Caenorhabditis elegans: one gene and its partner. The protein of the gene in region 1 purifies or fractionates together with the protein of each later gene. This does not show direct contact. Each region holds a gene or a part of one and is shown on either strand. Other genes may lie near its edges.

The links. The genes of interacting proteins can lie anywhere in the genome.
Region 2: the proteins of ida-1 (region 1) and sbt-1 fractionate together in Caenorhabditis elegans (co-fractionation; one large-scale study listed by BioGRID). This does not show direct contact.

Annotation. Positions count from the first base shown.
Region 1 is NC_003281.10:5,752,794-5,758,144, reverse strand, and holds the start of ida-1 (Receptor-type tyrosine-protein phosphatase-like ida-1), read right to left. Parts: upstream 2,607-5,351; 5' UTR 2,551-2,606; coding exon 2,481-2,550; intron 1-2,480. UniProt on the Caenorhabditis elegans protein: Regulates dense-core vesicle (DCV) trafficking and/or secretion. Probably by controlling DCV trafficking, plays a role in the AVG neuron-mediated formation of the right axon tract of the ventral nerve cord.
Region 2 is NC_003283.11:20,826,554-20,831,904, forward strand, and holds sbt-1 (Neuroendocrine protein 7B2), read right to left. Parts: upstream 2,329-5,351; 5' UTR 2,296-2,328; coding exon 2,224-2,295; intron 1,894-2,223; coding exon 1,562-1,893; intron 1,516-1,561; coding exon 1,284-1,515; 3' UTR 1,162-1,283; downstream 1-1,161. Other genes in the region: grl-14 (Ground-like domain-containing protein), read left to right, coding at 1-61, 114-327, 373-517, 594-818, 866-1,114; num-1 (PID domain-containing protein), read left to right, coding at 3,258-3,426, 3,821-3,918.

The DNA.
Region 1 (5,351 bases):
CAAGAATTCATGTGTAATAGAGAGCGTCTGCAATTCCTAAATTTGCCAGCTTCAAGCATTTGCCAAAGTTTTAAAAATTCTAAAAAGGCAAGTGCGCTCCACCGGCTATGAAGACTCCAGACTCCTTTTCTCCAACCCTGTTAATCAGCAGATATGCTTAATTTCTAGGAATATTATTTATCATCTACTTACAAAAACATAGCATTTTCAAGAGAGCTAAGCTTTTTTTCTAAATCATTTTCTAGACACAACGTGACATCACTGGTAGGCGTGCGAACCTAATTGAATATTCTATCGGAACTCTTTTTTTTGTTATCCCTTCCATAGCTTCTTGAATAGCGGAAACAGTTGTCACGCAAAAAGAGTCAGAATGAGTAAAGAATTTGATGATAGCATTCTTTTTGTTGAAAAAAGGGCAATGATGTAGATCAGACAACTTTTGGTGGTGGGGGAATTGTCAACAAGCATACACACATAAATATGACGCCATGGCGGGGGAGTCAATGCTGCTCGGAGGACGTATTTTTAGATGTAGTCGTTCTTTTTTAAGAGTGAGTGAGAGAGAGGAGAAGGAATAAATAGAATCAACTTTGGGCTACTTATAAGGGTCCGGGGCAATGATGTTAGAAGGTTTTTGTTGTCTTAGACTTGACCAAGTGGGTTTTGAAAAAAGAAGAAGAAGAAGAAGTATTTGATTTATGGCTAGTAGTGTCAAGAGTTCAATTTTATTTTGAAGGTTTACAGTTATTACTAGTCGAAATTAGCAACATATGCATACAAATTTGCGAAATTGTTGCATTTAATTTAGCTAATTTTTGCTAAAATTTTCAGATTGTCAACTTTCCACTACCTAGAACTTCTCACACCTTCTTGCCAGAAATCAAATTTCCGTGAGAATTTCTCGTGAAAATTGACCAGAAATTTATAATTCCCATAACTTTTTTCAACAAATCTAGCTCGAAAATCATTTGAGCAATCAAAAAGTTGTCAACAAAGTAATCAATTTAAATTCAGCAGAAAACAAAAAGTATAAACAGTATTTTAATTAAATAATTCCTAAAAACAAAAAATCTATCACAAACTTTCCTAATTTAGTTTACCATCCAAGCTACACATATTGCCTAAATTACTCTCGAAATACTTTAAGATATTTTATTATTTTATAGTTCAAAGTTATACTAATTTGAAGTCCTAGATTTCCTCAAAAAAGTCATCAATTTGGAACTTGTGAACTTCGGGATTAAAACTAGTGTCTAGGGCTTCATTAGCTCGTAAAACCAACAGGGTCTTCCTTCCTCATTCAGAAACATTTCCAATTTCCACTTTACTTCTTTTGATGCTCCGAGAGCTCAAAGAGAGGGAGAGCTCTGAGACTCCTCAAAATTAGTTTGTGCATTTTTAGAACGATCAAAGAGCCCTCTAGTGTATTGAATAATTGTCTTATAAGAATATTTACAACCTAGAAAATATAAAAAAAAGGTAGTGTGGAAAATAATAAGGAAAGCAACGAACGAAAAACAACAAGTATTTTAAAGGTACTGGAAAAGGATGAAGATGTGTGGTAAACAAAACCAAAATGAGAAAAAAATGTGAAAAAAAGGAAAAAAGATGGAAGAAATATGGGAAAACGACTACATTTTTGGACTCGAAATTGCTCTTTTTGAAGCGATCGAAGAGCATGTCCAATTTCTGGAAGAATTGTGAGAAATGGGGAAAATTGGAGAACAAATTGTGACGTCAGACTTCAAATATTCTGGTTAGAATCTTAATAATTGTAGAAAACTGTAGAGAAAATTGTCAAAAAAAGTATAGAAAAAACATTCCAAAATATTTTAAATGGAAATTTAATTACATGTGTATTCACTAAAAAAAATCTGTTTGAAACAAATCTGAAATTGATTTTTTTAAAACCATAGTTCGAAAGTCAGCCACCAATGCCATCAGATTTTTTATCAAGAAACAATTATTAAAAAATTCAAAATTTTGTCAGTTGATAATTTTTTATAAGTGAAGTTACAAATAAGTTATAAATGATTGAAAAGAAGAGTTTCAAAACAAAATCAGACAATTTTTTGATTTTTTAAATCTCAATTTTTATATAAATATCTACAGTCATTAACTTATTCGTAATTAAAAGGGGCGGTGGAAAGTAATAATGTTGGAATTAAATTAGGTTTAGCAACAAAAAAACCTATAAAAAAATTTTTCAACTGGCAATTTGAATGAAATAAAATTCGCAACATTTTGTCAGTGGACTTTTCTTTATAAAGTTTCAAAAAAAAAACGTTGGAATGTGGTGGGGACAAAAAGAGTTCATAAAATGTAGTCAAAATAATCAGAAACAGAACAATAATAAAATGAAAATTTGAACTCGAGAATACATGTGATTATAGAGAATTAGAAGAAAGATTACGGGTTAAGTCAGAAGGCGACAATTTTCGGGAAAAAATACTTCAATTTAAAAAAAAGTAAAAACCTACCGTACAAAAGAAAAGCAGATCCTGTAGAAATGGAGAATAGTAGTACAATAATTGAGTGGAAGAAGCGCATGCGGATGACACAGAGATGCGGCCCCCGCTACTCCATAGGGCGCTTGCGCGAAAAAATGGCGAAGAGATAGGCGGAGCTTGGAGCACACACACTCTCTGAGCTCTCTTACTCTCAGACGGCGCCGCCCTTCACGTCTCCGTCACTCTTTTTTCTTTTGACGTCTCCTCATCTCTTCCTCTCTCTCTCTCTCTCTCTCTCTCTCTCTCTCTCTCTCTCTCTCTCTCTCTCTCTCTCTCTCTCTCTCTCTCTCTCTCTCTCTTTCTATGCATCGATTGAATTCTGGAAGTGAGCGGTGTGGGGGAGTCAACGGACGACTACTAATAGTGGTAAGAAGCAGTTTCTGCTCCGAGCGAGCTGGTCACTTGTTTTGACGTTCTGAGCATTTGGTTGGTGCTTGAGAACACCAGGAGAGGGCTTCCTACGAAATTGGAGACTTGAATACTGATTTTTTTGTTGAAAGAAGGGGACAGCAATTATAGTATAACTTTAGAATTTGAAAGCAAAACGTAAGAGATAATTGTCCGTAATTATTTGAAATTATTATGTTTGAAACTAAATTCGCAACACTAGAATAATCGACATAGTTGCTGAAAGTTGGTATATCAAAATCTCAATCTATAGGATCACAAAACAAGATTAAAATTGTTCATTTTATCACGCCTACAGTAGGCAGAACTACATGCGTACATGTCTATCTTTTGCCTAGCTTCCTGCAAAGTATTAGAATCTGGAGCTTACGTGTTGGAACTGGAAGTTTATCTGAACCATTGTCACTTAAATGAAGACGTTTTAGGAGCTGCATGAGGCGTCTGGAAGGCAGGCATGGGTTTCATGGGCGGCGGGTGTTTGTAGGTTTCTTAAAAATAAGCACAGACAGCATAAAAAGTTTTCTATGGATTCCCGCCGTAGCTGAACGTTGTGATAATTTCAAAATTTCAAGTTCTCTTTTGATCATCAAGGCATCTAAAGTTCAAGAAACTTCCTAATACTTTATCTTCTGATAACATTTCTTAATAAACATTAAATATTGAGTTCAAAAAATAAATGCGCATATCATATGAGATTATTATCATCATATCTATGACGCTATCTAAAACCTATTTAGAATGGAAAAAGACATCGATGTTCAGATATTTGTGAGGTAAACAAATTGGAATGACATATTATTTGGGTATTCTAGAATAGACTAGTGATATACTACACTAATCACTCAATGTTAAACCATGTCAAATATTATTAGTGATTTGCACGTTTTTTGGTTATAAATGGCAACGCTTTTTTGTGGTGCTCTTTTTATATTACCATGGGGGTGGTTATAGGATTAAAAATGTTTTGGCGAGTTCTGAAGGCCTGTTAGCTGTTGCAAAAAGGTTAAAGTTTCACTCTTGCAGTCTCTTTTTGGAATTTTTTGAAATTTCCTGAAAAAAACATTTGAAAATCCTACAAAATATCTCCCATTCTAAAAATAGGAAATTGTGAAGGAAGCTCTTTCCCTCCCACCCATCAAATGTCACACATTCCGTTCAGCCCTCTTAATCCAGATGACCTCAAATAATACAAATCTGTGCTTCATCCTCTCTTCTGCATCACTCAATTTTTCATTGAGACCACTAATTTTCTAGTCACTCTTTATTCCTTCCTTTTCCAATTCGTCTAAAAGCTAGTCGGTCACCAAACCATAAATTTATGTGCGCATTTGGTGTTTCCATGTATTTTTTGTGTTGGTCAGGAAAAAGAAGACACCTGGCACCTCACAAGCTGTACAACTACGAAATAATGGGAAAAAACGAGGAAAATCAAATTGTGTGTATGTTAGTAGAAGAGATACAAAATGCAAGATTATATATTCAGAAAAATCAAAATTTCTCACTGTACTAATACAAAACCTTTCTGACTTTCTGCATGGGAAACTAAACAATATGATTTAACTCTGTTTATGGAAAAGTTTTAAGAAATCAGGGCCACACGAGGGTTTTTTCTAGAATAGTTTTTTGAACGTAGTCCATGTTGTTGGAGGCTAGAGAACGGTTTTAAAACAGACATATCAGAGCTCTGGAAAAATGTTTCAGAAATTTCGACCACATTGCCAACAATCCTGGAAGAGTTTTTTTTTCAATTCTCGGCCATATTACAGATTCCCAGAAAATATTTTTCAGAATTCCCGCCACGAGGCAGACATCTCCGAAATATGTTTTTCTAGATTTCCGGTCTCATCATTTGAGGAGTTTTTCGGAATTCTCGTTCATTTTGCTGAAACTCTCTATTGTCGGCCACGGTGTGGGTTCCCTTGAAAGAGTTTTTTTAGAGTTCTCCGCCACGTCTACATTTTTCTGGAAATTTTTATATAAATAAATCGCTGTAGTCACAGGTTCCCACAGAAGAGTTTTCTAGACTTCAACAATTTTTATTTTTCCCAAAACTTTTTCAAACTTTATTCAAGCTTAACCGATTTCATCTTCACTTTCTGAAATTAAAAAAAAATTCAATTAATTTCCACTTTTAGTTCAATTATTTTTCTACCACATCATGAGACTTTTCTGAATTTATAATAAACGGTCGTATATTTAACTGTGATTCTACTGCAAAAAAAAATACCAATTGATCAAAAAACAAAAATTGATGTCGTCACAATACAAAATTAAAGTTTCCGTTCGGAAAAACAAATCTTTTTCATGAAACCAAATACTCAACAAACGATCATCGGATTTTCAGACACGCTGACTTTGGTTAAGCTGAAAATATACGTTTTTTTTGTTGATATTTTTGTATCTGGGACTGGCGTCAGTTCAAAACTTTTCACG
Region 2 (5,351 bases), on another chromosome or scaffold:
AAACTGTACAAAGCTTTTAAAAATAGGCCGAAATTGTCGAGGATGATTAGAAAAAGTAATGGTGAGCAACTTTTAATAACTTTTAAAACTCAAATGTTTTAATTTTCTTCCAGTAAATGATGTAGTCGAAATGAATGATGGGTTTCCTACAATAATGGACAAAAACCGACAAATAATTCTCTCCAGAACTGAACCAAACTGGCAGTCATTGAATACTAGAAAACCTAATCAAACCTATGGGCGAGATCAGAATGGGAACTTGATTCCACTACTCGGGTTGGAACCAGCTGCGAATTTTGTGGATACAAAACAAGGGAGTCCAATAGAGTGATCATCAGTATCGCTTTGACTTTTAAAATTCTATAACTTTAGGCCTTACCCCCCAAGAGAGATTCGATATGCCTACCGTACTACGAATCGGCAGCCTGTTGTCTACGTTCCTTCTGCTTCACCCGTTAATCAGCCATCACATGCTTCGAATACTGTACCCGTGGCTGTCGCTTCATACCTAGTAACTGTATATTTTGAAAAACGCATTTAATCAAAAACTATTATAATAAAGCACGATATAAAATACCAGCATCTCTTTTCAGGCAAATCCATCATCACAACCAATTCAACTCCATATTTTGCCACCAATTCCATCTCCCCAGCCACAAATAATCTATCAACAAACGACACCATCAAGCCAATTTGTTGCTTATTCAACCTTTGCACCACCTATAGAGCCATCGAATGAATGTGGAAATGGTCAGTGCAAACCAGAATCGGATGAAGATAAATGCAACAGCCAGCGATTACGGGACATTATCTTCAATGTAAGTAAGTCCATGATTAACAGAATTCTAATTAAATCGAGTTCCAGAATATTGTTTCCGGCGATGCTGAAGCTTCCAAAAGAGCAGTTCAAAGTGCAGCTGAAGCTGAAACTGGTTTATTTTTTGATGCAATCTGCGGCACTGGTTTCTTCAGCTACATTGCACACACTGATGAGTTCTGTCTGGCATCGTCTGGTGGTGTCAACTGTTATGTTTTTGCACCAATCTGTCAAATTGATTCTCAAAATCAGCAGAAAAGGACTTCGAAAAAATTAGTTAAATTGAGCAAAAATTAATTCTTATTGAATAGCTCGGTCCACTTCTTTTCTACGGGTGAATGTTTAACAGAAATAAAGTTTTATTTCGGGTAAAGAAATTTACACTCGGTGGGCGCGATGGATGATGGACAGGGGGATAGGCAATAAAAGGCTTTTGATTATCAAATAAAAAATGTTCAGGAATTTTTTACCACGAATGTTTGCCATTCTTCTTCTGCATGGATCTCAATGGCTCTCCTTGAAGGTACGGGTTGACTTTGTGTGCTGAGCTTGGGATTGAACGCTTGCGACGTGGAACATACTCATCGGAGCTTCGCTTGTCATGGAACTTCTTTGCGATTGTGTTAGCGTGCATGTTGTTTTCTTCAAGGATTTTTTGGAGGGACTCACTGACGTCTTGAGCTTCTTTCTCGGCACAGCTATAACATTTACATGTTTAATTTAAATGTTCCACATCAAACTTACTTGAACATATGCTCCTGGTCGCAGATGCAGTGTTGATCTGCTTGGTAGTTTCTAGAAAACTCTGCACTGTTTTCAAACTCCTCCAAGCATCCGTGTTCCTTTGTGAACCCAACTGGGCATGGATTTGGTGGCTCGCAGTATGCGGGAAGAACGTTGTCTACTTTCACTTCTTGCCTCTCTTGGAAATTGTCCTCCTCAAGAAGTTTCTGTTCTCCCTCGCCAGCTCCACCAGAGATATGCTTGACTCCAAAAGAGGAGAGATCCGGAAGATTTTCAGAGTCACGTGAGATGAGATCAATGAAATCTCCGGATGGAAGAACAAAGTCTCCAGCCTGAAATTTTGAATTTTGAATAAGCTGACTAAATGTATACCTTTTCTTCAATTTTCCTTGAGTATCCTTAATCCGAAAAAAAATGGACTAGGAACACTAGATAATAATCTTAGTGTGAGTCATCACTAAAAATTTTGATTATGGCGGAAATAAATTTGCAATCCTTGAAACTCAACTTTCACAGTTTGAGGCTTTGGAGTTCATATATGAAAATTAATACAGATACCTTAATCGTTAAAAAAGTAATATTTGAAAATTTCAAAATCTATTTCACTTGCTCAGGAATTAGAAAAACACTAAGCCTACAAAACAAAATATGAGTTTACTTACGTTTTCCAAATCTAATCCATAGATAGCTGCAACTCCGACAGTAAAGAAAACCAAAGAAACGGCACCGATCATTCGGGCAACCGTGTTTGGTGCTGAAATGTGAATGCGTCGCTTTGGCTCTCCTGGCAGACGAAAAGAGAGCCGACTGCCAGAGTAGCAGACAGACGGTTATAGACCGAAAGGATTTTGAGGCTCGCAGAACAGCAGAGTAAAGACGCTGAAGAGAGAGGAGCTCATGTGCTCTTCTCCTCGCTCATGGCTGACGGCTTCGAGGAAAATCGATGAGCTGAAGGCGTTGTGTGAGTGTTTTGTGAGTTTTCATGTGAGTGTGTTCTCGCACGTCATTTTTTTGGACAAGATGGAGGAAGATGAAGAAGAAAAAACTGAAAGGAGGTCTAAAGCTCTTCTATTCGTTTCTATGATTAATACTTGGAAGTATAAAAAACAGGATATATTATGGGGTTTCAAAGATTTTGAGGACAACGATTATTGTACAAACAATTAATTTATTTTAAAATGAAACATTGTTTTTCATCGGATAAACATTGTAAAATGTCACAGCCTGTTTTTAACCATGTTCCATGTTCCATGTTGTTGTTGTGAAATAACTTGTAGTAATTCGCAAGTAAATTCACCCATGTTGGTTACGCAAATGTTGACTTTTTGAACATGTAATAAGTTCATCTGTTCAAACTATTAACTTTTTGAACTTTCCTTTGTAATCTCAGTTATCTTATCATTAAGTTTACAAGGTCTTCCGTTAATTCTTTACAAAGAAAAAAAATTAACCACCTTGATTGTAAGATTGAAAATTAAAAAAAAACGCAAGTGAAAATATCAATTTTCATCAAATTTAAGAAAATAATTAAAGTAAAGTTTTTTGTAACATCACAATTGTATTGACTACTCACATTGATCTTTGTGGAAGTGTTATGGATACGTACTACCGTGGGAACAAGCTGGGTTCTACTAATCTCAAAACTTATTTTATGTTTACATTTTGACTCGAGAGTCCTTCTTGACTATACTTTATTATGAATTGGATAGTTCATCAGCAAGGTTCATCGAACACTATGTTTTACAAGTGTCGTCCGCCAATAGAGTTTAGATTTCACAAACAAACTATTCTTGGTTTAAAGTATGATGGTCTGGATCGCAGTTCAAGAAGTGCCACCTCTACAATATGGGTTTACGATAAATGCGGTGAGTTTTGGAAAAATAGTATTTTCCTGGTATCTTTAATAGTTTACACGCTAAGCAATGTGCTAATTTCAAACCTGCTATCTCAAATACTCGTGAGCAAAGTTAAAGTTCCATCCGTACATGTTGCTAATTCAAAATGATCATTGACGTCTGCAACGACTTATTTCCCTACAAAATTTCCGTATTTCTCCCTCTATCACACGTAAGAAAAAGGGGTTGTCTATAGTATGACCTCCTTTATCAACGGCGATAACAGTCGGAAATCGGGTGAAAAGGAGGCGGAACATTCAGTTTCTGCACAAATCAGCTATTTTTGTCGCGATACTCTGAATATTTTTTGGCACTGATTGTAAAAAATTAATTTCGCACATTCGTTAACAAGTTTTTTTTTCAGAATTCGACAATATGATTGTTCCGTTTATGAGGCATAGACCAAGAAATTGGGATCAAGAGTCTAGATATACTGCACCGAGATTGATGTTGTGTGATACAGTAAGTGGTCATACTAAAGTTCGGATTCGAGATATAGGGTTTTAAGAAATATAACAAAAGTTTCTGAAAATATAGAATTTTATCAATGGTGAGAAGCATGATGTTGCACACGATTAGTTGAACAGTGACTTGACATTTTGATGCCTGCGTGACAGGTATGCCAGGTATGAGATGTTAGGTTTTAATTTTTAATCATACACAAAATGTTGAAAAATTCATTTTTCACTGCACGAAATAAAATTTGCTTTCCAACCATTTCGTTTTAGTAGACTAATTTTCATATTATAATGTATGCTTTAAACAAAAAGTATACTGTAAACAAAAATTTGTTAGAATTGTTTTTTTAATTCAAAACATTTTTTTGACAAATTTTTCGAAAACTTTTTCATGTCGGAATTCGGCGGAACAACTTTTCTAAGAATAGGATTTTAACAGAATACGTTGAAAAACAAACGCTAAAAACTCCTAGAACATTTATGAAAAATTATAGGAATCTCTTTTTTTATATTTCAGTAAAAAATTTTAAAAAATCAGGTAAAAACTTTTTTAGAGGAGGACTAACGATTTTGAAAGTAGACCCAAAATGAGCTCAAATGAGCAAATGTTTTACAGTGCATTTTTTTCCAACTTCTACGACTTTAAAGGCGCGCGCATTTTCGCGCAATGTTCTCGCCACGCGCATTCCATTGAATTGTTGAGCGCGTGGCGAGACCAATGACGGGGCCATTTTGTATAAATGCGCGCGCCTTTAAAGTCGTAGAAGTTGGAAAAAAAAACACTGTAATGAAACTTCTCAAAAGTGTTTCAAAAATGATTCAAAATTTCGAAAAAAATACACTGCTTTTAAATAGCTAAAATCTCGAATTGAGAATTATCATCCTTTATTGAATATTTTTGTAGTTTACTCATTTCATTTCGTCGATTAAAGAATATTTAAAGCCGATAGGCAACCTATTTCGATGATTTTTGATTACCTATTGGCTTCATATGCACCTTAATCGACGAAATTAAGTGAGATAAACGAAAATATTTAATAAAGGACGATAATTCAAAAGTCATCATCGGGCCGCTGCGACTCAGAAAAATGGCCAAAGTTCGAGAATTTAACTAAAAACAGTGTTATTTTTTTGAAATTTCGAACCGCCGTAAAAAATTTTTGAAACATTTTTCAGAAGCTTTATTATGAAATAATGAATTGTTCATTTGAGCTCATTTTGGGTCTATACGTTCAAAATCGTCCGAATCGTTAGTCCTCCTTTAAAAGCATCGTAGTTTTTTAAATTCCCTATTGTAGCCCAAGTACAGTATTTCTTAAAGACGCGCATCCTTCTGGCATTTAACTAAAATTTATCGTTTCGAGACCGGGTACCGTGTTTTCGAAGCGCAAATTAAGACAATTTAGCATCTGAAAAATGATTCTTCACGAAAAATAG